Caenorhabditis elegans: one gene and its partners. The protein of the gene in region 2 purifies or fractionates together with the protein of the main gene of each other region. This does not show direct contact. Each region holds a gene or a part of one and is shown on either strand. Other genes may lie near its edges. The genes, in order: cox-4, cyc-1, moma-1 and K02F3.2.

What was found.
Region 1: the proteins of cyc-1 (region 2) and cox-4 fractionate together in Caenorhabditis elegans (co-fractionation; one large-scale study listed by BioGRID). This does not show direct contact.
Region 3: the proteins of cyc-1 (region 2) and moma-1 fractionate together in Caenorhabditis elegans (co-fractionation; one large-scale study listed by BioGRID). This does not show direct contact.
Region 4: the proteins of cyc-1 (region 2) and K02F3.2 fractionate together in Caenorhabditis elegans (co-fractionation; one large-scale study listed by BioGRID). This does not show direct contact.

The regions. Positions count from the first base shown.
Region 1 is NC_003279.8:13,655,761-13,662,301, reverse strand, and holds cox-4 (Cytochrome c oxidase subunit 4), read left to right. Parts: upstream 1-3,173; 5' UTR 3,174-3,190; coding exon 3,191-3,322; intron 3,323-3,373; coding exon 3,374-3,503; intron 3,504-3,554; coding exon 3,555-3,820; 3' UTR 3,821-4,131; downstream 4,132-6,541. Other genes in the region: W09C5.12 (Leucine Rich repeat-containing domain protein), read left to right, coding at 1-143, 187-429; sac-2 (SAC domain-containing protein), read right to left, coding at 4,163-4,453, 4,500-5,064, 5,743-6,122.
Region 2 is NC_003279.8:8,020,297-8,027,601, reverse strand, and holds cyc-1 (Cytochrome c domain-containing protein), read left to right. Parts: upstream 1-3,179; 5' UTR 3,180-3,198; coding exon 3,199-3,228; intron 3,229-3,326; coding exon 3,327-3,481; intron 3,482-3,527; coding exon 3,528-3,627; intron 3,628-3,678; coding exon 3,679-3,927; intron 3,928-3,973; coding exon 3,974-4,168; intron 4,169-4,221; coding exon 4,222-4,350; 3' UTR 4,351-4,928; downstream 4,929-7,305. Other genes in the region: eif-2beta (Eukaryotic translation initiation factor 2 subunit 2), read left to right, coding at 1-4, 54-140, 218-574, 622-812; C54G4.9 (RAP domain-containing protein), read left to right, coding at 1,083-1,393, 1,442-1,701, 1,751-2,133, 2,183-2,623; C54G4.7 (AB hydrolase-1 domain-containing protein), read right to left, coding at 5,125-5,872, 6,243-6,421, 6,471-6,558, 6,627-6,748; dod-18 (Nucleotide PPase), read left to right, coding at 6,735-6,800, 6,848-6,982, 7,202-7,305.
Region 3 is NC_003281.10:850,831-855,999, forward strand, and holds moma-1 (MICOS complex subunit MIC27), read right to left. Parts: upstream 1,567-5,169; coding exon 1,300-1,566; intron 1,004-1,299; coding exon 715-1,003; intron 666-714; coding exon 616-665; 3' UTR 501-615; downstream 1-500. Other genes in the region: rnp-5 (RRM domain-containing protein), read right to left, coding at 2,110-2,254, 2,307-2,948, 2,996-3,078; tag-51 (uncharacterized protein), read left to right, coding at 3,409-3,553, 3,600-3,903, 3,954-4,580, 5,134-5,169. UniProt on the Caenorhabditis elegans protein: Sustains mitochondrial morphology probably through maintaining cristae morphology. May act as a component of the MICOS complex, a large protein complex of the mitochondria.
Region 4 is NC_003281.10:840,688-851,844, reverse strand, and holds K02F3.2 (putative calcium-binding mitochondrial carrier K02F3.2), read right to left. Parts: upstream 5,985-11,157; coding exon 5,843-5,984; intron 5,787-5,842; coding exon 5,390-5,786; intron 4,801-5,389; coding exon 4,575-4,800; intron 4,155-4,574; coding exon 4,131-4,154; intron 3,505-4,130; coding exon 3,343-3,504; intron 3,127-3,342; coding exon 2,956-3,126; intron 2,883-2,955; coding exon 2,429-2,882; intron 2,195-2,428; coding exon 1,931-2,194; intron 1,880-1,930; coding exon 1,569-1,879; 3' UTR 501-1,568; downstream 1-500. Other genes in the region: moma-1 (MICOS complex subunit MIC27), read left to right, coding at 12-300, 350-399; far-8 (Fatty Acid/Retinol binding protein), read right to left, coding at 8,105-8,401, 8,444-8,685, 8,735-8,894; K02F3.9 (DUF148 domain-containing protein), read left to right, coding at 10,522-10,644, 10,691-10,853, 11,126-11,157. UniProt on the Caenorhabditis elegans protein: Mitochondrial and calcium-binding carrier that catalyzes the calcium-dependent exchange of cytoplasmic glutamate with mitochondrial aspartate across the mitochondrial inner membrane.

The DNA of each region.
Region 1 (6,541 bases), 5.6 Mb from region 2:
TGGAGTCGATTCTCGATCGTTACTTAGAGCAAAAAAAGCTCTACGAACAAAATGGGTTCAACTTCGAAAATGTCGAAGACCTGGTTATTCGGAATGCTGTATCTGGCAACATACAAGACTTACCCGGTCATCCAAACATCACAGTGAGTTGTCTAGGCACCGTTAAATCAAACATGGTATTTTTAGTCACTGGAAATTTCGAACGTCAAAATCGCAACATTCCGAGGAATGAATGTTTTTGAGCGTGTTCAAGTTCTCGATGCTTCCTCAAACAATCTTAGAGAAGCGGATTTTGAGCAACTTAGGACCAGCTGCCCATCGTTGACGACATTGACACTGAACTACAATCCACTCAATCGATCGAATCATTCCCCTCCGAGAGTTCCCCAATCTGGCTTCTTTGACAATCCATTGCACACTTATCGATGATAGGACTCCACAGGAAAATGCAGCCCGAGTATTTCAAGTACTGCTGCAGCCCAATCTCGAGGTTAACGAGTTCCGTAGAGCCGACGTTGAAGCCGAGATCTTGATTCTCAATCGAGATGAGCCTCGTGGGCCTGATGGGATGCGTATTGGACGCGGAGGACGCGGTGGACGCGGAGATCGGGGCGGATATTTTCAAGAGTAGAAGCTCGATTAATTTGCCCCTCTTAAAATTATCATTTTTTCATTCCTCGTTTTTTTAATTGTATAATCTTAAATTTTTCCGATCTTCAGATCTCCCACATCAATTGATTTCACAATTTTCTCGTTGTATAGTAAAAGATTTCAATATCTACTTCAACTGCTTCAAAATTCGAATAGAGGAACACTTCTTCGATTTTTTATCCGTTGGATTGTAGTATTACTCGATATCCGCACGTTTCATCAAAATTTCGAGTCTGACGAAGATCTGAATTAGTACACTGCAACTTTTTCCTCACGAGGGACGAGGAAAAGTTTTTTCCCGTTTTTTCTTATTAAAACTGATAAATAAATACTTTTTGCAGATGCTAAAACAATTTCCAAGTAAAAAAATTATGTTTTCAGTCGGCAAGCAGCGTGAAAGTGGTCAATGCAATATGATGGATTACGGGAATACAAAACCCAAACTTTTTCCCAAACATGATACATATGATGCTTAGATGCTGACATTACCTGATTTTCATAACGAGACCGCTGAAAAAGTTTTGAGGTTTCCAAAATTCAACTTTTTGTGCGAAAATCTCGACTTTTTCAGCGGTCTCGTTATGAAAATCAGGTAGTCTCAGCATTTAAGCAGCATATGTATCATGTTTCAGAAAAAGTTTAGGTTTTGTATTCCCGTAATCCATCATATTACAATGCCCACTTTCACCGCTGCTTGCCCACTGAATACATGATTTTTTTACTTGGAAATTGTTTTAGCATCTGCAAAAAATATTTATTTATCAGTTTTATTAAGAAAAAACGGGAAAAAGCTGTGAAAAACGAAAGAAAACACGCGGAAAAAAAGCAAGATAAATGGCCGCTGAAACTTGTCGGCCCCTCGGCCATGGCCTAGAAACCACTTTTCCTCGTCCCTCGTGAGGAAAAAGTTGCAGTGTTGGGGTAAAAAACTACGCTGAGCTCGATTTTCAGCTTTTTTGGGGTCTAAAAGCTGCTCTAAAAGCCTAAAAGCCTTAGTTTTAGCTAAAAATCCCAAATATTGTACCTTCAGAGCCCACAACATAATCCATATTCTCAGGATTCCGTCCACATTGCCCAAAATTATTATCACCAATCGCAAAAACGCCCAAATTGGTTCGAATCAGCGAGTGCGCTCTACCGGACGAAATCTCGAGAATTTCGTCGCCGGGAATATTGATTTTCTTTGCGGATATATAATAATCCTGATATTTGTTGATATTCGTCAATTGGCCACCGATCTGGAAGCTAAATTCGTGATTTTTGAGGGTTTTTTGGTATTTTTTACAATTATTAGGGAAAAAAAATCAATAAAAACAGCTGTTTTTTTTTTGATTTTTCGCTGAAAAATCGATTTTTTAGAGCACTTTTTCGTAAAAAAATGGCTTTTTTTTGGCGAAAAACATGAAATTTCTCAAATTTTTCAGAAAAATTGTTTAAAATAGGTAGATTTTTAAATTTTGAGAATTTTCTGTGAGAAATTAGAAAAAAAGGGTTTTGGGAAGAAATTATCGAATTTTCGTTGTTTTTTCTCGGAAAAGTCGGGATTTTTGAGGATTTTCAGTGAAAAACTGCTAAAAATCTGCTTTTTGAAGCTTTTTGGCAACGTTTTATCGATTTTTCGGAAAAATAATGAGAAACCCCCTAATTTTTGTATTTTTATTCAATTTTTCAATGAAAAATCGTATTTTTTCCAATTTTTTTGGGAAAACTCATTTAAAAACGCAATAAAACTGATTTTTTCGATTTTTTTCCAGTTTCTTGAGTTTTTTAATCGATTTTTCAGATTCTTCCGCTCATCTTGACAAATTTAAAGCCCTTTTTCAGAAAAATCCAGCGTTTTTCAGAGTTTTTGGGCCAAAATCGCCAATTTATCGATTTTTCCAGAGAATTTCCTGCGAAAATCCCACCGATTATTAATTCCAGCACCGTAGAGGCGATTTTTCGACGCAAAAAGCGAAAATCCAAAGCCTGAGCTTATAAATTTTTTTATAAAAAGTTTTTCTCAATTTTTCACCCAAAAGATTCAAAAAGCAAGAGCGCTCTATTGGACTCAATTGGCTGCGTACTTGAACGCGTGTAAAACGTTGATTACTCAGTCAACACGATTTACGGAGTGAACAGCCCGCAACGGCGAGCCGTTGTTACATTGCCAATTTATTGATTTTTCTGGAGATTTTGCCAAGTTTTATGCAAAAATTAAAAGGAACCACATATTTCCATCGTTTGTTCGTATTCCGGCTAGTTTAATCCTTAAAACACGAAGAGAGAACGGTTTTTGATTATTAATATATTGCACCCGTGTGTTCTGTTGTTTGTTCGTTTCTGACTAAAACTATCCTCTTCCACGTTTCCATCGGTGTTTTCCGTCGGCCACTTTAGAAATTACTTTAGAAATTCATTTTTATTATGAAAATAGTTCATTTGAGTATGTTTTTTTCATTTCTCCACACTGACGCCGGATTTACCTTTTGTTTTTTGGTTTTTCCTGCATTTTCAACCCATAAACCAGTTATTTATTTCAGGTATGTTGGCTCGTCAAATGATGCTGCCACGTTTGGCTCTCCGCGCAGTGCACACCACCGCCCGTCTGTCCGGAGGACAGGAATTCTACTGGGGACCCGATAAGGCCGCTGGACGCGAGCTCGTCGGATACGGAGCAAATGGAGATAACGTACGCCTTGTTTATTTTATAAATTTTAAATTTAATTAATTTATTTTTCAGATCTACCAAGATCGTCTCGACTACTGGTATCCAGCTATTCGATTCCGCAAGGAGGACAGTGTGATTGCCCCAATTCGCGCCAAGGAGCAAGCCGACTGGAAGAACTTGTCTGCTGAGGAGAAGAAGCTCTGTTAGTATTCAATTTTCCTCGACAAACTTGAAAATGTTGCTAAGTTTTCAGTGTACCGCTACAGCTTCCGTCAAACGCTGTCCGAATTCGAGGCTCCAACCGGATACTGGAAGGTGATCTCCGCCGTTATCCTCTCCGTGCTCGGACTTTGCACCTATTATGCTGTTCTTCTCAACGTCTGCGTGTACCCAGAACTGCCGCCAACCTTCCAGAACGAGTACAAGGAGGCTCAGGTTGAGCGTGCGCTTGTGCTCGAGAAGGGACAATTCCTCGGTGCACCGACACACTACGATTACGAGAACAAGAAGTGGAAGTAAAATATAGAGATTCAGCAGAAATAAAATAAAATTTTTTTGTAGCTTCTTTCTCGTTTTTATAATTCTCTCTTGGTTGTCGTCGCTCCCCCCGCCCCATCACTCTCTCGTCAAACATTCAAGCTTACCTTCTTCTTCATCGCCCCAACCCTCATCTGAAACCTAGATAAGCTGTAAATCTCTCCTAGCGGTCGAACGCACTGACCAATTCTTTCGTCTCCCCCAATTTTTTCTTCAAATTTTCCAAGTGGTTCGGCTTCTTGAGAGATGGGCTGCCCTGTAAACCAGAAATAAATAGATTGAATGTTGCTGTTAAATCCAGGAGGCAATAATTTATTTATTTCTTTACAAAAGTGAAATTTTAGTTTGACACTCGGAGATAGCGGGTAGTAGCGAGGAAAATGGTTCGGGTTGGGGAGAATCTGATTTAAATTGTGACATTTTCAGGATTTTCGTCATTAAGTGATCCGATTTTTGCGATGCGTCCGATTCGTTTCCATCGGTTTCTGGAAGTTGAGCAGTTGAAATTGTGGAAGCACTTTTCGATAGACTGGATGGCTTCCCAACTCGCTTGATCTTCCCGAACAGTGCACCCATCGCAGCCATCGATTTTCTATGAACCGACATTTGAGGGATCTGAAACTTCTAATTCTAGATTTTGAAAATCTCAAGCCACCCAAACCGTAATCTTTGCCACCGGAACAACTGAACCTTCAGCGCCAGTCAGCATATTCCTGCCAACCTGAATCTGCTCAGCGACCGACGAAATATACTCATTGGCTTCTTCCAAGGATTTCAGACGGATTGCAGTATTATTAAATAACCGAACAGTAGATGGCCTCCAAATGAATACACCTTCGAGAGTTTCCAGTCGAGCACATTGTCGATTATTTCCAGATGTTCCTGTTTGAATAGTATTGATATCTTCCAGCGCAACGATTTGCACATCAGTCATCTTTTCTCCATCGATTTCATAGGTTACAATATACAAATTGGAGCGGGTTAATATGACGACTGTGTCGATTTCATCGCTACTTTGGAATGCGTTAATCAATCCCCAGCCAGCGATGACAGTTTGCTGGGTTGGAACCAGGAATTGTATGGTTTCAGTCACCATTCGACTGATATTCTCTTCTTCTTCCTTCTCATTTTCCTCTTCTTCTGCATTTTCGTCGGCTTCCGTTTGTCCTGTCACTATATTGATGGCTTTTTGGCGTTGAGCATCTTTGGTGTGTGTTAGGTAGTATCTGAAAACGGAAAATTGTGTAGTTTGTAGTGTGAGAATGTTTTTGAATTAGAAAAAATGTATTGAAAATGAACATTTGAGGCGGAAATTGACATTCGGTTGAGGATGAGAGACTACAAACTACAAAATTTGGGTGAGGCTACAAGATTCTGTAGTTTGTAGTGTGAATTTTGTGCTTTTTTATTTTCTTGAATTGTAAAAAAGTGTATTGAAAATGAACATTTGAGGCGGAAATTGATATTTGGTTGAGGCAGAGACTTGGTTGAGGCTACGAGATTCTGTAGTTTGTAGTGTGAGCCTCAACCAATATTCCTAGTGATTTTCTGGTGTTTTTAACTCGGAAAACTATTTAATGCTTATTTTTTTAGGGCAGAAATACTTTTTTTAGTTTAAAGTTTCAGGTTTTTAGAACAAAAATCGATTTTTCCAGCCAAATTTGTTATTTTTTCTTTCAAAAATACTCGATTCAAGGAAAAAAATGTGATTTTTTACCGAAAAATTCGAAAAAAATAACTTATGATCAACTTTGGTGAGGCTCACAAAGAGTGTAGTTTGTAGTGTTAGCCTCACCCAAAACTAATTTTCTGGTTGAGGCTGTCAGAATTCTGTAGTTTGTAGTGTGAGCCTCAACCAAGTCGATTTTAATCGAATTTTCGCCATTTTTTCTAGCTTCCCGTACCTCGATGCACTATTATATCCATCTTTCATGACCCCCATCAGCTTCCGCTCTCCATTCCTCGTCACATCTCCCTTCAGCGCGGCGGTTCCGGCGTATTGCGTCGATATCACATCTCCATTATCAGCCCACATCGTTTGCATCGTCTGTACGAGCACTTCGGGCGGTTCGCACAGCGGTCCGAAGATTCCGAGGCGTTGAGCCTGCTGTAACACTACAAACAGGGAGATTTGGCCCTGAACAAGATTCGTTCGGTCCAGACAGTCGATACAGTTGGTTCGGACGACGCCTTTTTGGGATTGAACCACTTCTCCGGTTTTGTCGACCCAGCAGAAGCCAATGGTTTTCAGTGTTTCTTCCATTGAGGAGATAAGCGTTTGGAGCTGGAATTTGGAACGTTTTTTAGAAAAAAAATGTTTTAAAAATTAACATTTGAGGCGGAAATTGACATTTGGTTGAGGCTGAGAGACTACAAACTACAAAATTTGGGTGAGGCTACAAGATTCTGTAGTTTGTAGTGTGAGCCTCAACCAATATGAAAACTATTTAATACTCATTTTTCTCGGGCAGAAATACTTTTTTTTGTCTAAAAATACGACTTACTGTTTCAAAGTGACTCTAGAAAGTTAGCAATCTTGAAGAAATTTTGAAAGTTTCAGGTTTTTAGAACAAAAATCGATTTTTGGGGAGAAAATTTGGGTGAGGCTACAAGATTCTGTAGTTTGTAGTGTGAGCCTCAACCAATATTTTCAGTGATTTTCGGAAGTTTTTAACTCGGAAAACGATTTAATACTCATTTTTT
Region 2 (7,305 bases):
TTGGGTGAGCTGATGAAGATGTGTATCTGATTGTTAATTAATCAAAATTACAGGCGAGCTAAACCTTGGAGCTAAAAAGAAGAAGAAAACTCCAAAGACAGCCGGCGAAGAAGTAGTTGAAGAGAAAGTTCCAACTCTCGGTAATATATTTTATTACAAAGTTATAAAACTATAATTTTGCACAATACTCTTTCAAAATAAATAATTATGAATTCAGAAATCGGAATTGGAGCTCAAAACTTGATCGATGCAAAAGGGGCATGGCCAGATTACACATACGAAGAAGCTCTCACTCTTGTCTATCAGGTTATGAAAGACAAAAATCCAGACTTTGCTGGAGACAAGAAGAAGTTCGCCATCAAGCTCCCAGAAGTTGCAAGAGCTGGATCAAAGAAGACTGCTTTCTCCAACTTCCTCGAAATTTGCCGGCTTATGAAAAGACAAGACAAACACGTGCTCCAATTTTTGCTCGCGGAATTGGGAACGACTGGATCCATCGACGGAAGTAACTGTTTGATTGTGAAAGGAAGATGGCAACAGAAACAATTTGAAAGTGTCCTCCGGAAATATATCAGTAAAAAATAGAAATTTCCCAAAAATTGTATATTTTCTGTATTTCAGAGGAGTACGTAATGTGCCATACTTGCAAGTCGCCAGAAACACAGCTCACCAAGGATACTCGTCTCTTCTTCCTCCAATGTACTAACTGTGGTTCCAGATGCTCTGTTACAGCAATCAAGAGTGGATTCAAGGCTGTCGTAGGAAAGCGTGCCGCAATTCGCCGAGCCGAAGAAGCTACAGCTGGAAAGTAATATTTTCTAAACTTTACTCGGTTGTTATCCGGCTTTTTATGGGTTGGTACTTCTTTCCATTTTTCCGAAATTCTTGTTTTGCTTTCTCTTTTCCTTGTTTTCCCCGTATTTATTTTTATCCAGTTTCATTTCCTTTCTCATTCGATTCGTGTTTTGAGAATAAATTCGGCATAGTAAGTGTTTCAAATTTATTGAATGATTTGTTCTCACCTTTTTAGGTATTTTCCATGTTCAAGTTTAGTCAAAGGATCCCCAATATTTCAGCACCATATGACTAACCTTATGAGTGCATTGTCAAAACTTTCACAGGCTTTGGATTCCAAAAATATTGGAGAAGTTCTTCTCGCTCTTCAGAATTTCGATGAAGAATTCAGCGCTGAAAAATGTGAAGATGTCTTCGTTAGATGCTTACAAGAAATTATTTCATGGGACTTGACGGTTTCTCTAGAAATATCTGAAACGGTAGTTCGACAAATGATGAATCGATTGGAAAATCAAGCGGTGTTGGAAGAAATGTGTAACTATATAATCAAACAACAATCATCTGTCACTGTGGAAATTGCAGTGGAGATAATGATAGAGTAGGTTTTATTTTATTCAGCTTTTGTTCACTTTTTTTACTATTACAGGCACGGCTGGATTTTAAGAACAGATGATTGTAGAGAAGTCTGGAAACAAATCGAGTCTGCGAAAAATACTGAAAAAATCGAAATTCTCGCAAGAAGAATGACTGCAAATTGTAGAATTCTGAGGTTATCTGGAGCTCCGAAAAGATTTCTTGAAAAATTACTCAAGGATGTTATAATATCGCTCAATGCAAATAAGGTCAACATTCCCATGAAATTTCTAAATGAGCTCGCTATTGTTTCTCCCTTTCATCCTATCCTCGGTAAGAGCAGTTGTAGAATTAAATTTCAATTGAAAAATGCGTATTTCAGTGATCGAAGATTTCAAGAAGGACTCCGAATATTTTTATATTCCACACGTTGTTTCAGAAGAGACCCGATTCCATTTGGAAGTGAAAGAGTTCACAAATTTCTTTCAAATTGAATCAACTTATCACAAAGAACAAGCATGTCAGATGCTTCAAGTGTTTAATCAGATTTACAAACGAATGGAGCTTATCCCTCAATTGGAAGCTCCCGAAATTGATAAAATTGTAGAATTTTGGCTTGCTGCTCTTCGAATATTCAATGGATATGGAATTGGGATGAACGACATAACAGAATCAGCCAAGCTTTTAGAGAAAACAGCTTCTAGATATTCTCTCAAAAGCAGACCTCTGTTTCTGAAGCATTTTCTTAAAAAAATTTCCGAAAAGGTTTGATTTCTGTTGGTGTATTTTTAAAGATTAAAAATTTCTCATTCAGAAAGATACAAATATTGGTTTGGAACCGCAAGTTGTTGCAACCATCATCACAACTTACCAGCGAAATGCATTCGGCCTCAGGTCACCTGAATTTTATGAAGAACTTGGTGAATTTTGGGCACTGTGTTTGAAGATTAAATACGATGACGTTTATTTTGCAACTGTCTACTTCTCTGCTGTGTTCGCACTAGCTCAGGCACAAGCAGTTTTCAAAATTAAAAAAGAGCTCTGTCGTGAAGTTTACCATAAGATTCTTCAACCGATGCACGAGCAGCTTGTCGACTTTGTCAAGCTGAAACAAGTTGAATCCAATAAAGCTACGAGTGAGGAAGAAGTAATGCGCCTGGAGCACCAAAATATCGGCGCAAGCTACTTTTCCATTTTGACATGCACCTACAAAAATGCTGAGGATCGGATTTTGGAGTTTATGAAAGAAAATTAGCCGACGAGTATTTTTGAAACATACTTTCCTTATTTTTTCAATTGGTCTTTCATTTGAATATCTATTTTCTTTGATAAATTAATAAAAAAACTTCTCTTCGCTCTTTTTTTTTATTCCAAAAAGCTGTAATTAAGTTATTTTCAGGAAAGAAAAATTATCTTTAAACTGTTTTTGAGCTTTCTTTTATTCTACGATAAGGTTGCAGACATCGTTATAAAAGTGGATACGCAGGTCTCACAAGAAGTGCGCCAGCACCAGGCGGGCACATTTCTCGATGCTGGCGCGTTTCTAGATGACCGTGCTGTACAAGATTTTCTTTTTCTTTAATTTTTCAGTTGTTTTTTGTTAATTTATTCAATTTCCGGGTTCATTCACGTCAGAATAATTTTACTGGATAGATTTCCAATTCGGATAAATTGAACCTTCAATTTTTAAGCAATTCCGTTGCTGGAGTTGATTTAAATTAGGAAATTGATGAATAAAATTTATGCAATGTTCACACGTTCAATTCTTTTTTAAAACAAATTTAGTGAAATAAATTAAACGAATTTTATAGGTAATCGACGTGGTACGTAATGCAGCGTGCCGTGGTTCAAGGATCTAAAGTAAGTTTTATGTCCTTTCTATTCAAAAACTCCAATTATTATTAGAAGACAATAATTTATGTTGAAATAAACAGTGAATTAATTATCGTATTTTTCAGCGTGGATTGGCGGCCCTTGCCGGAGTCACAGCCGCTTCAGGCATGGGACTCGTTTACGCTTTGGAGAACTCGGTCAGCGCTAGCGGAGACAACGTTCACCCGTACGCTTTACCATGGGCTCACAGCGGACCGTTCTCTTCATTCGACATTGCTTCGTAGGTTCAATTGAGTTTGGATAATGATAAATCGTTCATGTTTCAGTGTACGACGTGGATACGAAGTATACAAGCAAGTGTGCGCAGCTTGCCACTCGATGAAATTCTTGCATTACCGTCATTTCGTTGACACAATCATGACTGAGGTAATTTGAATAAAATAATAACTTCATGCTAATCACGACTTTTTTTTAAAGGAAGAAGCTAAAGCCGAGGCCGCTGACGCTCTTATTAATGATGTTGACGATAAGGGAGCATCCATTCAGCGCCCAGGAATGCTGACCGATAAGTTGCCAAACCCATATCCAAACAAGAAGGCCGCAGCGGCTGCCAACAACGGAGCTGCTCCACCAGATTTGTCATTGATGGCTCTTGCTAGACACGGAGGAGATGATTACGTTTTCTCTCTTCTTACTGGATATCTTGAGGCTCCAGCTGGAGTGAAGGTATTTCGTGCACACAATTGAAAGGAATTAGTGAAACATTTTTCAGGTTGATGACGGAAAAGCTTACAATCCATACTTCCCAGGAGGTATCATCTCTATGCCACAACAATTGTTCGACGAAGGAATTGAGTACAAGGACGGAACACCAGCAACAATGTCTCAACAAGCTAAGGATGTTTCTGCATTCATGCACTGGGCCGCAGAGCCATTCCATGACACCAGAAAGAAGTGGGCTCTTAAGGTAATTCATTTTAGAAAATATTATATACAAGTGAATAAACTTTAATAATTTAGATCGCTGCTCTGATTCCATTTGTGGCTGTTGTGCTGATCTACGGAAAGAGACATATCTGGTCATTCACGAAGTCGCAGAAATTCTTGTTCAAGACGGTCAAGGGAAGAGAGCCACCAAAGGCTCAGTAATCACCAGCTTTCCGCTATTTTTTCATTATCCTCTTCATTCGTCCGCAATTTCCATCAGCGATCATTTGCTCGCAATTTCATAAAATATTGTGAGATTAATCGTTTGTAAATTTAATGAAATTGCGAGTATTTGTAACCCTCCTCTCCTAGTTCATTTTTTCACAGCCTCCATCCCCTCAAAAAAAAAGAACGCGCTCTCCCTCGATCCGACCGTCGTAGTCACCAAAATTTTCAAATTGGGGACGACGTCGGGAGCCGTTTAGAAAAATTTAGTTGTCGCCGTTGTTTGTTAATTGTGAAAATAAAATGGAGAGTTTAGTATGAGTATTTTTCCATTTTCTGAGAGTTTTTGCTGTATTCGAAATAGTCAGACTCCTTTTTAAACTAAAAAGCTCACGAACTTTTTCGATGCATCATTACTTTCTCGAATATTTTTTTTATATAGGAAATCTCTTATCCGTTTTTTTTTCTCTGTAACCACGTTTTTATACCTTCTTTTCTTTTCCAATAAACCAAATAATGGTAAAACGTCGACATTTATTTTTAGTGTGGAGACGAATAAAGTTTTAAATTATAAATCGCATATGGAGATCATGTTTGTAGAATTTGGTTGAAAAATGTTCATTACCGACATAGTTCTATTTTATGAAAAGGCACACTGAGAAAGAGAAACCGGTAATGTCAAAATAGAGACAATCTCAAATTTGGCTATGGGAGTTCTAGTATCACAAGAAGAAACGGAAAATCAAAATTCTAGTAAAAATGCAAATTATTTTAAATTGTTTTCTGCTGTTGCCGTCTGAGCAATTCGGTTATTCTTCGACGCCAAAGATCATGTTTCGATAGATATGCTGTAACATGTCCATATCCTTCCATCATTTCAACAGTTACATTAGGCCATAATTGTTGATATGTTGGTGTCCCTTGATTTCGCAGTACATATTGATCCTGATCAGCCAAGAATACATGGCATAGTGATGTGTCTATTGGTGTTGGATAGAATTCAAGACTTGTGAAGTCATCCATCAAAATTCTCATCATATTCTTGGCTTCTGAATCACCGTTTCTCGCAGTCATCTCTCGCATTTTATCCAGCCAATTTTGATTCGGAATTCTTCGGATTTTATCAACATAGTGAGGATCTTCGAGCTGTTTCTGCAGTAAAGAATAATTAACAGCTGGAGAAATAGCTCCTTCCGTATATGATGGTGATGCTGTCGTCCATGCAAGAATAGGAACTATTGATATTGGACGTTGCGAATTTGATCCAGCAAGTTGAGCCATAAATCCACCCATCGAGACACCAGAAATTGCAAATGGACCATATCCAAGTGTCTCAGACCAATTGAAAAGATGATTACATTCTGCAATTAAAGCGGCACCCATCACAAAAAGATCCGTCACATTTTCAAGAGAAGAACGGAATTGATTCGGTGGTTTTCGATCTCCATAAAATGGATTTTGAATTAAAATAGATCCCACACCATCCTTAAGCATGTCATCAACAAGAAGATAGTGACGTCTGAAATAATAGTGATCTATGATACCAGTTTTGATTTTTTTGCATTTTTTCGAAATTTTTGTGGTCTCTGATAAGAATCATTATTCGATTTATGCATCTATGTAAGATGCGATACTTTTTATCTCAGTTTTTGAGTTTTTTTCTCTTTTTAGATTAAATATGTATTATTCAGACGCAAACTTTTTCGATCTTTGTGACAAAAATACGGTATCCGGTCTCGACACGATGAATTTTGTTAAATGCAAAAAGGTGTGCGCCTTTAAAGGAAACTGTAAGTTAAAAACTCTGCAGCGAGTTTTAAAGTACAAAAAAATTTGTCGTGCCGAGACCAGGTACCGTATTTTTTAAAATAAATTTTCAATTTTCTTACCTAAAATAAGAGTGATCTCCGGTGCCTGCCAAATGTATGCATACGGGGCCTGGTTTCTGAGGAAGATATGCTCTGAAATGTGCTCGACCGACGTTTCCTGGCATATGATTGGGAAAGAGAGTGGCATGAGGACTTGCGAAAAATCCCTCGTATGAAGTTACGCCATTTTTTGAATATTTCTGAGAATTATTTATTATTGAAAAATGTTTTTGAGAAATTAAAATTTACCTTCACAATGTCGATTTTGGGATTAAGTTCTTTCACATAATCCATCACAAGCCTCTTTGACATGACATCTCTGCGATATTTTGCCATTCTAAAATAATAATAACAATAATTAATTATCTATTAGTTTCTCAATTTCTCAATTAAAACAAAACGTACTGTTTAATTACATCCGGATGTCCCCAACTTTTTGTGAATAATTGACTGAGCACAAGAGCCGATCGAAATTTCAGATCCACGTGTTTCGCCCACGACGGCAAGTTCGGAATGAAAGAAGCCATTATTGTATTGGCAAGTCAGTCACCAAATCGACTCAAATTGTTGCAGCAAATTGTGAGAAAATGAGAATCTACAAAAAGAAAGATTTATTTCGGTTTCAGGGATTGGAAAATGTAATCGTAAAAGTTTCAAATTTCGAGGAAAATCTACCAAAAACATTGCCAGTTAAGCAGTTTGTCATTGAAACAGCTAAAGGAAAATTGACGACTATTGTGGAAGAAATGAAAAGAAAAGAGGTATAGTTATTTTTTCAGTAACTTGAGAATATAGTTATTAGTTGAAAAACAAATCGGAATTCAACAAAAAAAATACGGCAACATTTCTCGACGCGACCTAAAACTTTTTGCGCAAAATTTCAGAGTGCTGCAGCATATCGAGACCTGCTACCATATTTTTAAAATCTAAAATTGAAATTATAAAAACTGAGATATTATATTAATATATGAATTATTAAGGAGCCGTACTCTGTTATTATTGCGTGTGATACAGTAATCGAATTCAATGGAGAAATTATTGGAAAACCAACAGATGCCAATGACGCTAAAGAAACTTTGAAAAG
Region 3 (5,169 bases), on a different chromosome or scaffold from region 2:
AAATATGTACGAGCCACATTAAAATCATTTATAGCCATACATTTACACCCACTGAAAATTCAAAATTTTCTTGAAATTAAAATGCCCACCCATAATGCTGATCCCCCGCTGCCCTCTCGCCTTCTCACCAGAGATGTGCTGCACCTTTTTTGAAACTTTCGGAAAATTTACAAAATTTTTCTTTTTTCGTTGTTTAGACGAAGTTTTTATTGGAAATTTAAATTATTTTGATTTTGATTGAAAGTGAAAAGTTCCTAAAAAAAAAGTAAAAATATTTCTGTGTTCCAATATAAATTTTCCAATTTTATCAACAAAAAAATGTGCCGCGCCTCTCTTCTCACCATCCCCTAGATTAAATTTTTGCGGGTGACTTTCTCTCCCTTCCCCACCCTCGCCCGTTCTATATATATATTATATACATAAGATTTATTTTCTTAATTTGTCCAAAAAGTGCCTCCCTTTCTGTTTTTCTCAGTTTTTTTTTCTTCAAATTTTGCATAAAAATCGCATTTTTATTTCACTACTACAGGAACACTGGGTTCGGCGCACACACAAAAAAAGAAACCGCTAGACATTCGAGTGGATATTTTTTACACACAAACAATTATTTTCCAATTATTTCGGTGGGCTCAAGTTAGTTTTGACGATGGCAGATGGAGTTGGAGCTGAAAATTTTATTTATTTCTCTCTGATTTTCAGAAATTTCAAGCCTACATTCTTGGAAGGAATACCAAGTTTGTTCAGCATGAGCTCTTCCGGTCTTTGCCACGTCAACAGCCTCTATCGGATAACAAAAGGCGGCCATCGTGGCCAAGCCGATGGTAGTGGTGAGGAGACGTCCGACCGGGCCACGTTTCAGGCCTAAAACGAATCCGGCCATTCCACCAACGGTGATTGCTGCGGCTTTTGGAAGAGCAGTCCATTCTTCTGTCAGATATGCATTGCATTTGGTCGCCGCTTTTTTTGTTTGAGTCATCGCACAATCGACAACTTTGAAGCGTTCCTGAAACAAAAATCGGTGATAAAAATATATTTTTCACAAAATTAGTTTAATTTTTACTTTTACTCAATTTAATGATATTAAAAATTTTCAATTTCCTCTCGAAAATGGATATTTTCAATGTATTTTTTTCTTTTGTGAAACACATTCGGTTTTCACTTGAAAAAACTACAGATATCAAATAATTACTTAAATACAAAAAATTAGCTAAATAAAATAATCCAAACTCTTCTTTTAAAAAAAAACCAATTAAAAACGAAATATAATTTTTTCTCCACATAAAATCGCGTAAAACTCACAGCAACACGATCATACTCCTGCTCACATGCGATACGAATAGTCGCGAATTCTCTTTGAAGAGGAAGTGGCTCTTCTGGAAGGAATTTCTGCTTCAGTGGAGCATTATCTTCAGCATAAATCGGAAGTTGCTCAATCTTAATAGGTTTTGAATCTCCATTATTCGTCGTGTTTTTCGAGGTGACAAGTTGCCAGAATTGTCCAAAAACATTTGTCACTTGTTCACCGGCGTTTGAAATTGTCTCCACAATCGGCTTGTCTTGTGTCATCTGGAAAATCAAGCGGTAAAACAATAAAATAATAAAACAAGAATAAATATTTTAAAATTGATTAGCTTATTATAATTATTAAAAAACCATGAAGAAATAAGTATTCCTACATTTGTGGCGCAAAATATCTCGTAGCGCAGGCTCTGTGTCGATTTACGGAGTTTGTGTTTATTCACGATGCGCCTTTAAACAATTATTTAAAATTGATTTTCTTTGTATTTAATTACCACTTTTTCATAAATCGACACCGACGCCTGCGCTACTATATATTTCGCGCCAGGCTTTCTTGTTTTTTTTTTAAATATTTTCTAACATTTAAACCCCTCTGAGGACGGTTTTAAAATTAAAATAGATAATTAACAGGCAATTAACCATGTCTTTAACCAATCCAAATTACCCTTAAAACACCCAAAATAATTTATTAAAAAAACGAAAATTGGGGAGATCTTTTGCATAACAAAACAGAAGAATAATAAACAAAGGATGTTCAGAATTTGGACAGTTTAGAATGGGGTTTTAAAATGGAACGTCAGTAATGGAAGTTTAAGAACGCGATCTTCTGCCGGCTGGAGAACGAGAGCGGCTGGCACGGCGGAATCTGTTGGGCCCTCCAAGTGGCATATTGTTGGCTCCTGAGCCACGGCCGCCCATTGGAGAACGTCTGCGATGTGGTGGTGGACTGCGGCCTCTGGAATTTGATGAAAATTATCAAAATATACTACTTTTCCTTGATTACTTACCCTCTTCTCATTGGTGACATTCTGTCTCTTGGTGGCGGCGAGCGTCTTCTAAATGGAGAACTTCTACGCTGGAATGGGACAGATTGTCGTCCGATAGTCATTTCGACGTGAACAGCCATTCCATCGATTTGTCCTCCATCCATGTGCTTGATCGACTTTTCGGCGTCTTCCAAATTGTCATATTCAACGTATCCATATCCACGATGAACATGGTTATGGAAGCGATCTGGTGGAAGATCGACATTCTTGATGGCTCCGTAGATCGAGAAAATCTCCTCGAGGTGCGTTTTCAGAACATTTCTGCTCAAATTTTTGATCACTACACGCTTGGCCGGACTGGCTGATCTTGCTGCTGGGCTTCTCCTCGGAGAAGCGCGTCTCCTCTGACGGCTCCCGCTTCTGTCACGACGATCACGACGTGGTGGCGATGGGGATGGACGACGGCGACGTGGTGGTGATGGTGATGGTCGCATTGGGCGATCGCGATCCGCGCGTGCTCCTCTTGGCGGTGAACCACGACGGATTGGAGAACGAGAGCGTCCTCCACGAGCTGGTGGGCGGGTATCACGACGACGTGGTGAGCGAGAACGAGAACGGCCACTGGACGATGAGCTGGAGGAGCGAGATCCTGATGAACTACTTCTGAAATATCGATTATTAAGCTATTGTATGAAAATTGTAAAGCATACCCAGAAGATGACGATCCAGAGCTACTGGACGAGCTGCTTGAAGACGAGCGAGCCCTCTTTTTGGTTTCTTCTTTCTCAACCATACTGAAAAATTATTTCATATACTCGAATAGACATCAACTAAGTAAGAAAATTTTCACCGCGTGGTGTTCGAGCAGAAGAAGAGACAGAATGTTGGCTAAAGCGCTTACTTTTTTGAGTAAATAATTAACCAAAAACAAGAATTACGGATTTTCAAATAAATTTTTAATTGAAAAACAAGAAAAAACCTATAGAAAAACTATAGAATTGAAAATATCGAATCATTTTTCGAAGAGACGCGGGTGAATGATTTACGGTAAACAACGCGCGCGGTGGAATATCGGAGTGTCGTTGCAAAACAAAACACTTTCGTTTTTTTTTTCAATTTCAAAATGGACTCTGCAGAATCTGAACTTTTAGAAGAAGAAGAGCTCCCAGAAATCAAATATATCGACTCTGCAGAATTCCAAAATTTCGATAATAACGCTGATCAGCGTGAAATTCAGTTTCGATGGATGGAAGCATTTGAAACAAAAGGTAATTTTTTCCCAAAAAAGTATTTTAGCACTAAATTCTTTTGCAGAACCAAGATGGTTTAGGCTTCTTGACGAATTCATCACTCCACTTTCTGGAAAACGTGGATATTGTTCTCGAATCGTCGAGAAGTACGCTCGAGTACTTCTTCATCAAGGATTTGAGTTGAGCCAGACGGATGGGCCGCTTCGTGTCGCAGCAATTGCGGCTTCGAGAGATGTGGGACAAGCCGGAAATCTTCCATCAGTATTGAACAATTTATCAGAAGTTACAAGACATCTGAATCTTGCTCAGTATGCCAGCACATCGCTCGCCACTGTAGGACAGAGGAAATTCGCAAATGAAGTCGTCCAGTGAGTGATTTTTTTTAAAATTTTATCTTTTCAATGGAAATTTCTTTCAGAAAAACTGTGAATCAAGAGCGCCTTGGTTGTTTTCACCTGTTCCTCATTGGATACCGCGAAGGACTCGAAAATCTTCTCTCAAATCATCGACACCTGCGAAATTTTCGATATAGTGCAAAAAAACGGCATGACCTTCTGACGGAGCACATTAAGAATATATTTCAAGAGCGAGATTCGTTTATTCAAGCACCAGAAGCTAGCAGCTTCGCACTTCAGACGGTTCTAGAAAACTGGACATTTCCACTTCAAAATGAACAAATTGTACAACTCGCCCATGCGAATACTCTTCAAATGCGCGCTCTTCACGTCAAAGGAGACGGTTTTTATTTTCTAAACGAAGCACTCAATGTGGCTATTGCATTCAACTGGTCCAGCTCCCAGGAAGAAATGGAAGAATTCTATTCAATTTTTACTCCACAAGCGACAAATCCACGTGGAAAACGAATTTTTCAATTTTGGAAAATGATTTCCAAGTACGATAGGAGTAATGGAAATGCACAAGGATTCTTGGTGACTGCTCAGCGATTAGAAGAGGAATCCAAGTCAGATGATATTGGAGCTGGATGTGTGACAGCTGTGGAACTTGCGTGTAAAATTCGCAACCAGTGTGATCAGCATGAAGACTTGTCAGTTTTCCGCTGGATTCCAGAGTTTCATATTTAGCAGGCCCAAAACGAATGCTTGGCAGATCCAAATTTTTCGCTCAATAAACAGCAAATTTACCTCTCTTTTCGTTTTCTCCTTCAATAAATCGAGACAGTCTGTCTGCTTTGGTCAGCTAAACATTTAGACCAAAGTTAGGTATGATAAATATTTAGCAGACCAAAGTTAGGTATGCTAAATATTTAGTAGACCAAAGTTGGGTATGCTAAATATTTAGCAGGCCAAAGTTAGGTATGATAAATATTTAGCAGACCACAGTTAGGTATGCTATATGTTTAGCAGACCAAAGTTGGGTATGCTAAATATTTAGCAGACCAAAATTAGGTATGCTATATATTTAACACACCAAAGTTAGGTATCCTAAATATTTAGCAGACCAAAGTTGGGTATGCTAAATATTTAGTAGACCCAACTCGAATACTTAAATAGCAAATTCTTCGTTAAAAAAACAACAACATTAGCTGAAAATGAGCCAAACCTCAGAGAAATCAATAATAATAATATTAACTGTTTTAGAAGTAAAACCATCATGGATACAATAACCCGTCACCC
Region 4 (11,157 bases), on a different chromosome or scaffold from region 2:
TTTTGTTTCAGGAACGCTTCAAAGTTGTCGATTGTGCGATGACTCAAACAAAAAAAGCGGCGACCAAATGCAATGCATATCTGACAGAAGAATGGACTGCTCTTCCAAAAGCCGCAGCAATCACCGTTGGTGGAATGGCCGGATTCGTTTTAGGCCTGAAACGTGGCCCGGTCGGACGTCTCCTCACCACTACCATCGGCTTGGCCACGATGGCCGCCTTTTGTTATCCGATAGAGGCTGTTGACGTGGCAAAGACCGGAAGAGCTCATGCTGAACAAACTTGGTATTCCTTCCAAGAATGTAGGCTTGAAATTTCTGAAAATCAGAGAGAAATAAATAAAATTTTCAGCTCCAACTCCATCTGCCATCGTCAAAACTAACTTGAGCCCACCGAAATAATTGGAAAATAATTGTTTGTGTGTAAAAAATATCCACTCGAATGTCTAGCGGTTTCTTTTTTTGTGTGTGCGCCGAACCCAGTGTTCCTGTAGTAGTGAAATAAAAATGCGATTTTTATGCAAAATTTGAAGAAAAAAAAACTGAGAAAAACAGAAAGGGAGGCACTTTTTGGACAAATTAAGAAAATAAATCTTATGTATATAATATATATATAGAACGGGCGAGGGTGGGGAAGGGAGAGAAAGTCACCCGCAAAAATTTAATCTAGGGGATGGTGAGAAGAGAGGCGCGGCACATTTTTTTGTTGATAAAATTGGAAAATTTATATTGGAACACAGAAATATTTTTACTTTTTTTTTAGGAACTTTTCACTTTCAATCAAAATCAAAATAATTTAAATTTCCAATAAAAACTTCGTCTAAACAACGAAAAAAGAAAAATTTTGTAAATTTTCCGAAAGTTTCAAAAAAGGTGCAGCACATCTCTGGTGAGAAGGCGAGAGGGCAGCGGGGGATCAGCATTATGGGTGGGCATTTTAATTTCAAGAAAATTTTGAATTTTCAGTGGGTGTAAATGTATGGCTATAAATGATTTTAATGTGGCTCGTACATATTTTGGCATATAATCACCCCGCCACTTTTTTTTCGATTTGTGTATTATTTCCCCTCATTTTAATATTATCCATTTTAATAAAACGTGATGTCCATTTTCCATCTTTAGGCTTAGAAATGGTTATTTCCTAAGCCTAAAAATACAAAAACTCCACACGTTTTTATTTGAAAAAGTGGCTGGGTGATTTAGGACTAGTACCTTAAAAAATATTGAATTTCAGAGGTTTTACACATAATTTTTTGAGCCAATTTTCAAGAAATTTCGTGATTTTAAATTCCAGAAAATCGGGCCATAAAATGATGCGTAAAACCTCTGAAATTCAATATTTTTCGAATGTCTATAATGAGAGCGCCGCCAAAATATGTATAAGCCACATTAAAATAATTTTTTAACGATACATTTTCAGATACTGAAAATTCAAAATTTCGTGAAATTAAAATACTCATCCCTGATCAGCATAGTACAGGTAAAATACAGAAGAAGTTCAAAAATAAGACTAGGATCGAACACTTTACCTAAAACAACACACACTGACTACGGGGAATATATAGGACTCTCTACTTGCTCGTTTCGAACTTTGGCAAGAACAATCCGAACTTGTGTTCGATTCCGGAGAATGTAGCTGCCGCCAGCTTGTATCCACCAACGTGATCCGGATTCGTTGACGACTCGTCTTGAATTGTCTTCGTCGTCGCAAGCTCGGAACCAGTCGGCCGGGATCCGGCGAAATCGACGTAGAAGAGGCGCTGGAGAACCTCGTAAGTGAGAAGAGTAACTGCGAATTGAGGACTTGAACGGCACACACGTGCAGCTGTACCCTTCCATAGTGACATTGGACCCTCTTCTTTGATCAGCTTCCGAGCGCAATCTGTAATTTTTTGTCAGAGTAAGTAACTAAGAAACTAGGCAAAAACTGTACCAATGACTCCATTATACGTCGTCTGTCCAGCTCGTGCAGCTACTTGAAGCCTAGTCTTGATAACATCGGCAGGTGTTACTAAACCAGCGGCAGGCACTCCAGCAATAAACGCGGAAGCAAAAAGTGTTCCCGGTGAGTTCATTCCATCTTCATCAGCAGATGCGAGTTTTGCGTGAGCGTATGCCGGGAAATAGATTGCTGAGAACGGAATATCCCGAAGGAAGCACGCACGGGATCCTTTGTAGAGTCCAAGGAAACCGAGTTCTGAATTAAAAGTTTGAGTATTATGCGATTTCTTGTGTGTCTTTATTGCCAGAAGAAAAGGCACCACGTTTTAAAAATCTAGTCGAAAACGAGATCTTCGAAAAGAAGATCTAGGATTTGGCACCGCCAGATCCCGAAAACGTAGATTTTGTTTTGGTAGATCTTCTTTTCGTAGATTTTGTTTGCAACTAGATCTCGAAAACGTGGTGCGTCAGAGAATGCACCATGCTGCACCTTTAAGAACCGTGAATACTCCGATCTTCTTTCCCGCTTGTTGTACTTCTCCGGCAGTTTGTAATCGAATTTTAACAATTTCCAGGGGATTTGTGAACACAACTTGGCACATTCCTCCGGTTCCTCCGGCGATAATTTCTCCATAAAGTGGAATTTTTCCGTCTTTAGTGAATTTATCTCTCATATAATCGTTCATTGTCAATTTGATAGCTTTTTCTGGTGCAACACCAACAATTTGAGGCAAAAGTCCACGATAAAGACCCAAGAGTCCTTCGAACTTCACGACTTTCTTGAAGCAATCCAGAGAGTTTTTATACATTACTTCTCCGACGAATGAGCCAGATGTACGTTGATTTTGCATTCGTGTCTTCACAAGATCAATCGGATACACTGCAGTCGCTCCACATGCTCCGGCTACTGATCCTAATAAGAAACGGTACGCGGATTCGAGGAACTGCAATATGAAATTTTTAGGAATTTAAATATAGGTAGTTGTAAACAAATTTCCGGCGCCAAAAAATTCTTACCGCAGTTCCAACACCTCTGTCATCTTTATGGTGCACAGCTTTGATGTTGATAAGTCGATCCATTTGTGAAACACGCTTCAGACGTTCAGGATCAATTGCCTGAATGTCCTTTAGACAGAGCGTCTTCCGTCCTGGATGATTCAACTCTGACAAGTGGAACAGGATTTCGACCTGGAAAAAATTGAAAAATCATTTTAAAAAATTACTTTAAAAATAACTTTATTTTTATTATATTTTTTGATTGTTTCAGAAAATCTAAAAATTTTAGATTTTCCGATCTTTCCTGAAAAACATCGAAAATATAAAAATGACATCCTTGCTTATAAAGATGATTCCGTATTTCAATCAATTTTTGGTTTTTTGGGAATATCTGAATTTCCTGCTTACTTCATAAGGAGTAACTTGTGTATAACTTTGAATTGCATGCAGAAACTCTTCTTTCGTCATCTCAATGTCCAAATTTCCACGTGTCGTCGATACGTAGACACGCTTGATAAGTTCCATTTTGGCGAGAAGACTGTTGAAAGCAGCATAGTAAGGGAAGGTCACCTGGAAATTGAAACGTTTTTATTGAATCGAGATTCTGGAGAGGTATTGGCTTCTTGAGGAAGACATGGTGCAGGACAGAACGAAGAAACATACATTGAACATAGGAAACTTAAGAAATCATGCAAAAATCAGCCCGAATATCATAGAATCTCGTGTGTTTTCTTGCTCGCAAAAACTTCAGCCAACAAGTTACCGAACGGGTGTATATCGACTGAAAACCTTTCGAAGATCGAATCGACCAACACATGCGAAATTCTTAAGTAGTTTAAAAAATCATTTTCCGACCACTAGAACAAGTTGAAAAGTTTTGAGATTATAGCTAAAGTGAGTTTAGCTTTTTTCTTTGAAATTTTGAAAAAAGAATGAAAGCAAAAAAAATATTTTTTAACTCTTTTTATTTAAATAATTTTGTCTCGACCACATTTCTAAAAATCCGAATATAAAAAATTGTTCGAAATTGTTTGTACTTTGTTGCATTTCTATTTATGGTTTCTAAGCGGTTTAATTATTACTTACACAATATCGACTAAGAATTTTTATAGCATGCTGATTTTTCGTTTGGCCTACCTACAAATCACGAAACCAAAACAAAGGACACCCAAAAAATGACAGAAAAGAAAACTTACAAATCCACCTCGAGTGTCGGAAAACTGAAAAAGAAGGAAACCACTTCCAAAAAAAATTAGAAAACTTGGGAATCTACGAATGAACATGCTATATCACTCCACTATACAACATTTGGAAAACTCACTTCCAATACTAAGGAATTCTATTTCAAAAAAAAAAGAAAATCAGAATTAGTAAAATAATAATTAAAAACCAGAGCAAAAATCAGAGAAACAATGAGGATTTTACTTTAAAATTATGGGAAACACTCGGAAATCTAGAATATCTTATTTATTGATATTTTTCGAATTTTTCGAAAATCAGTTTCCAGTCATTTTTGAAAAGACCGACGTTTTCATTTATGACAAAATTCAATTTCCATTTTTGAATATACTTCAGAATTTCCAACTTTTTCCGAAAATTTTCAAGCAAAATTAATTTAAATTCAGATGTTTTTTTCTCACCTTGTGTCCACTGGCGCCGCCGCCAGACACCGCAATGAGGTTATGCCGAACGAAATCCGTGAGCAAGTGTCCTTTGACAGTAGTCATTATTTGTTGGAAATCCAGTGATGAGATGGTTCCATTTCCATTTTTATCGTATCTTTTGAATGCCTGGATACCCTGTTCTTCGTAGAAATCATGAAGAAGTTGACAGAATGAATGATAATTCACGTTTCGTTGTTTGTCACTGAAATAATTAAAATTTTTATATGTGGAAATATGGAGCAGTTTTCGAGTTAAAAAAATATATTTACCAACCGGGAAAAGTTTAAAGGTGGAGTACCGAATTCTGAGAAATATTTTTAAATAACTCCAAATTTTCTCCCGACTCCGAATGTCAAAGTGAAAAAATTCAAAAAATTTCCCTTATTTTATATTTTTGCTTGAAATCGCGAATTTCATTTTTGCACCCATGGTATTTTTCAAACGCCGAATTTACGCGCCAGAGAGGTTTTTTTTTTGAATTTTTTCACTTAGATATTCGGATCAGGGGAAGATTTGCCATTTAATAGTCATGTAATAATTTTTCTCAGCTTTCAGTACACCACCATTTGAAGAGAAAATCAAAAATGTTCAGTTCTTCGTTCAAAAAAAGGAAAAAAATTTTGAAAAATTTTGAAAATGTTCTTTCAAAAAAATTAAGAACCCAAAAAACTTTTTTTAAAATTAAAATTTTGATTTTATCGATTTTTATAGTGAATTATATTTTTTTCGCTGCAATTTAAAATTTGAAAATCTGAATAAATATTTTTCAGTGAGATTTCTCAAAAACTTACGCTCCAAAATATCTCTTGATGAATTCCGAACTAAAATCAAAGTCCTGATCATGCAAAGGCTGAGTATGCCGAATCACAGCTTCAAACTCATCACAGCTAATGGTATCCGAAGCGTTTCGATCGAAAAGTTCGAAAGCGGTGAGATAAAGAGCATCCGGGCTGCACAAGAGAGCTTCAAAAGCGCAGAACTCTTCGAATGAGATGTCTCCATCTTTTGTAGTGTCTGCGGCGGAAGCAAGAAGACGAACAGTCTCCTTATTATAGTTTTCTTCCGTGTAAAGACCTAAGTATCCTCGAATGAAATCCTCTGGGGTCATCAACTTCTTCCCTTTTATTTCTTTAGTCGCGAATCGATCGAAAATCGGACGAAGATGGTCTGGATTCGCTCGTGGAATGGCTGAAAAAAATAAATAACTTAAATATAATTTATTAATTGTAAAATTAAATATTTACATCTTTGACTAATTGCAGTTTCTGCATTGCATTCTGCTTTACGGAACAGTCCCGTGGAGAACACATCGCTTCCGTGTCCGATTCCCAAGTTTTGTAGGAGTTCTCGTCGTTTTGATGACGTCAACAGATGATCGAAAGACATTCACGAGGGCCTGAAAACTAAAAAAATGATTTCAAGGAAATCAAGGAAATCAACGAGAATTTCGCATGTAAATTAATATAAAATAAAAGAGACAAATATGGCTAGCTGCAAACGCGCTCTATTGACAATAATTTTTAGCGCGAAGCTTAAATTTAGATATTGAACTATTTTGCCTAAATCAGATGATAACCAGGGAAACAACATGCGATAAGATGAAAAATGTGATAAAATCGTGTGCTGAGCGTTCTCTAGTACAATAATGTTGACAGACACAGAGAATGAAAACGTGCGTGAAACAAAATTTGATCCCCATGATCTCAATGTTACTCAGACAAATGATATCAGAGATACTTCGCTTCCTTGAAATTTTGAAAACCGGCAATTGCCGAAATTGCCGATTGCCGAAAATTCCCAAGATCGGTAGTTGCCGAAATTGCCGATTGCCGAAAATTTTGACAACCGGCAAATGTCGAAATTGCCGATTGCTGGAAATTTTCGATTGCCGCACACCCCTGGTCCAAACTTAAATTGCCAAAAATATCTAGAAACACAAAATACGAGTAATCAAGAACTGGGGAGGGAAGAACGTAGTGTAGTCTGGTGTAAATGACTACACCTTGATAAAAAAAGGTGTACAAGGAGTTTAGTTGGACGGAAGGGTATAATTTCACCCAAATTTAGATTTCTCACCCGACCAGGGATGTAGATGTAAACTCTAAGGAGGCCAAACTGTCAGGGAAAACGAGATAGGATCTTTGACTTGTTATATTACACACACACACATACACTGTGGAAAAATAGTGCACATGCTGAGGTGCCATCGAGATCCTTAGTTGGACAAAAATTCCTTGAATTTTCTGTTATTTTCCATCAACAACTTGAGTACTATCTGAAACCTTAAGGGCCCCACTACTCAAGAAGTTGCAAAAATTCCAACAAAGCAAAATCCCTAATTGCAAGAAAATAATAATACTACACCAAAACTAGGCCACAAAGTAACATAAGTAAACCGAATAGTCTGTTATCTCATTCTGTCTCTACCTTTCTCCCTCTCCTACCTCCACCCAATATTTACCAACTGGAATGTAAGAAAAAAATGAAGAAAGGGAATAGAAAACATAAAGGCTCCCGTCAACTGCTGCTATGCTCTGATGCTCCCTGCGTGAGAAAAGATATTTCTCTCGTTTTCACTCTTCTCAAGCTCATCTTTTTTTTGGGGAGGGAGAGGCGGCGGTGGACATCTATTTCCGAAGTACATAGGAGGAAAGCCAAGAATTGGGAGGAGATATAGAGGACAAAGAGGAAAAAAATCAACGTGGAATACACGACAACAGGAAAAGTTGATTCACAGGTTTTTTTTGCCAAGACAAGGAACTTGGCGACCTCCCAGACTTGAGGTTTATCACGTAGATAAATTTGAAAGTACTCTAGGCCAAAGTTTTTGTAATTTTGATGAGCTAATTAAAAACTTGAGAGATTCTGGATTTGAATGGATTTGCTATAAAGCCGAACCTTCGTAAAAAGGAAACACTCACTTAAAGGCCAGGCAGTTTTGCGATGACATGCCCCCCGGACTGCCCACACTCTGTGTCGTCTGCGTAATCTATGTTGGTTATGGTCTCTCGTCTCCCCCCAGCCTCAACACAGCAGCCTTCTTCCCATCAACGAACGAACGAGTGCCGCGCGTGTTTTTAGCGTGGTCAACATGAGGAAGACGAAATCAAGAAACTTGGCAAGTTGCAAGAGGAGTCTGATAGGGAGGTTTGAAGTAAACGAGCATATTTGCATTTTAATAAAACTTCGCAAATTTTACTCCAGACTGTTGAGCAGAAATTTTCAATGGTATTCACTGTGAAAGACTTAAGGTAGGCAGGCAGATGGGATCCTAGTACAAAATCCTGAAAATGTGCCTACCTATAGAAGTTTATTTTAGAAAATGAATCATAACATGGTTTTTTTCTGGTCGAGCTGTGATATGGAGAAGAAGAATGAGAATGATCTCCCTGTATAAATATAATAGTTCGACGGTTGTTCAATAGACCTCAAAAAACTTAATGTACAAATCAAATAGATTTATGTTTTTGAACTATTCAATGATATGGAGTCGAAAAAGAAAATTATCAATTATTGGTGAGCACACTTTGCTTATCCATCAATTTGATAGTATTGAAGACTTGCTCACGATCCTTGACGCAATCCAATGGTTTCAGGTTGTTAACGATAATCGAGTAGGCTTCAAATTTTTTGCTATTAAGAAGTTTCACAGCCTCTGGGAATGCTTCTTCAATCTTTGCCGCTTCCGAATCATCCTGAAGAAGAGCTTTTGCTCCACTAACTGCGGACTTGGCATTGTTGAAGATATGGCAAGCCCAGACAACACGGTCAGGGGAGGCATCGGTGTACATTTGAGCTTCGAGCTGTAGGATTTGAATTTTTATGAATAATTAATGTAAACTCACCCCATTGCAATATTCTTGTCCCTTTGGTCCCAATTTGGCAACCTGTTCTTTGTACTTGTTGTACATTGTCTCATATGGACCTGCCAATGCTGGATAGCTCTTCTTCATGATTGCGATGTACTCATCGTAGTTCTTCGGCTCAAACTTGCCTGCGTGATAGTCATTCACCATCTGAACTGCCTGAGTTTTCTGTTCGTCGGTGATGTTATCAAGTGGTTCCAGAACGTAAGAAGGCATGAATTCTTCAAAAAACAATACAACTAGTTTCAACTTGAAAATACAAGTACTCACGTTTGTATTCAGAATAGGCCTTCAAAATTTGATCAAACTTCTCCACAGTGAACACCAAGTTTGTAAAATCCTTCTCGGTCATTTGTTCTTCAGCGGGGCGACCCAAAACGAACACAGCCACTGACACAAGAATTAAGGAGCATGCCCGTAAGGTAAACATCTTTTTGATAATTACTGAAAAAAACAAAATTTGAAAACGAGAATAAATTCAAAGTTGTGAGTGTAAAATTTGATTGACCTCACCTTTTATAGGTGGATGGCAGAACTGTAGGCGGATAATGAAACCAAAAGAGGGTGGAGGGAGATTTCGTCGAACTCAGGGAGGGATTTACTTTTCGTTTGGCACTACTAGTTAGTTGAAGTTTCACCAGTGATAACCAATGAGCAGATTAATCGGTCAAACATTGAAATTTGAAATCACATGAGCATCTTACTGAAGAACTGTATAATGGTAATTGAATGACAGAATTTTTTCCAATGTTTATAAAAAATCTTAAAAATGATTTTACACTAGAAATCTGTAATATTTCAATGCTGTGATGAAAAATATGAAAAATGTCTTGAAACATTTTCAGAACATCGGGGTTATATATTCATTATTTTATTCATTATTTCATTATTTTATTCATTTATTGAGAAGAAAAAATCAATAAAAAGGGGTTTCTAGTTCAACGAGCACCTTGGTCTTTAGATTTTTGTAGGTGGAATTTCAAAGATGTTTAATCGATTTCTGTACAATAACGTTCGAATTATAATACAAATCGAAAGTCCATTACCACACTTATTACTCTGAAAATTTTTCAGTAAATTTTTCAAAACTTTCCAGGCCTGTAAAACTGTTTTAAAAAAATCTGAGAAGGAATTTTTCAGATTTTTTCCAAAAAAAATCCCAAAAAGCTTCCAGAATACTTGTCTTCTTTGAAATAGTCTGAAAACCATAAAAATTTTCAAAAATTATAATTTGGAGCAAGTTTACAAGGCTCTAAAATAGTGAAAAGTGTACTGATAGCAATTTCAGATCGACTTTGTTCCATACTCCTGCTCATTTGCTCGCAGTGCTTCTCTGTCGCAAAAATTGTTGCCGGGGTCTATTTAGAAGGTCTTCTTTCAAATGACATAGGTTCCATCCAAAGGTCCAAGATAAAGTTTAAATACTTCCCTTGCTAGTTTAAACTTGCGAACGTAAGATCCCAATCAACCAACTATATACAAAGTTAATGTATTTTGCAAACGACTATATCTTGGAAATTTTCATAACTTTTGAGAAAGTGTAGCTTTAGCCGGGTGGTTTTCCATTTTAGTCTTCCCCAGTTCTGATCTATGTTTACTAAAATTTACCGTTTTGACATGCATGGATTGAGTAGAAGAAACAATGGAGATAATCCGATTTTAATTGAACACAAAAACTTCCAAATGGGAATTTATTGTTTCATACTCAAAACACATCAAAGTAAGAACGATTTGATCTTTTTTGTTGTAACTTTTACCGAAAGGGTTCAAAGATACCCCTTTAAAAAAAAAAATATAAATTGATATTATGTTCCATATCTCTCAATAAATCTCTTAACCTAGGTAGCTACCATTCCACCTGAAAACAAATTTCACTAGTTTCCCTCACTTTTTGTTGTTTTTTCTCCCTCTTTTCTAAATATCTTATTTTTTCAATGCTGTAAAGTGATATAGTACATAAATGACAGAGACGCCTGATAGAAGATCGAGATGCCAACCAACACCAGCAACACGAGACCTTTTCATTTTAGACGGAACATTTTCGAAAAATACGAAAAATGACTTCCTCTAACAAGATTCTTCTAGTGTTTCTTTTATTCTTTTGTATTCAGGACGTTGCATCTGAAAATGGTCTTGACGTTAGTGCGCTCAGTGGAAAAAGCAAAAAGTTCTTTTTCGATGTGAGTGAATTTGGAAAAATGGTACAATTACACTGTAACGTTTAAGATGACAAAGCAAGTTATGGGAGTTCCATCATTGAAGCCAGAAAACCTGGCAGCCCAAGCGTTCTTCCGTAGTTTCTTGGATAAGTATACAAAGTTGGATGACAAAGTGAAAAATGATATGACACAGCACGTACCAAAGGCGACGAAACTTTTTGATGCAGCTGGTGAGTTAAAAAAAATTTTCGTGCGAAATAGTGCAAAATACGCTAATCCTGAAATTAGTCAATTTCCTATTAAACTCTATGATAGTAGACGGTCTTTTTTTAAAACTATTTTGAAGGAACTTTCAACACGGTTCTGACTTGAAAATTACGGTGAAAGTATTGGCTTGTTGTTGCCAGAACTGACAAACTAATAACTTCGGAACATCACTGCACAGAAAAATCACTAAAATCATATTTAATCTATTATTGGCCTACAATTCCAGCATTTTCAGCAAAAAAATACAACATTGACCCAAGTAGCGCA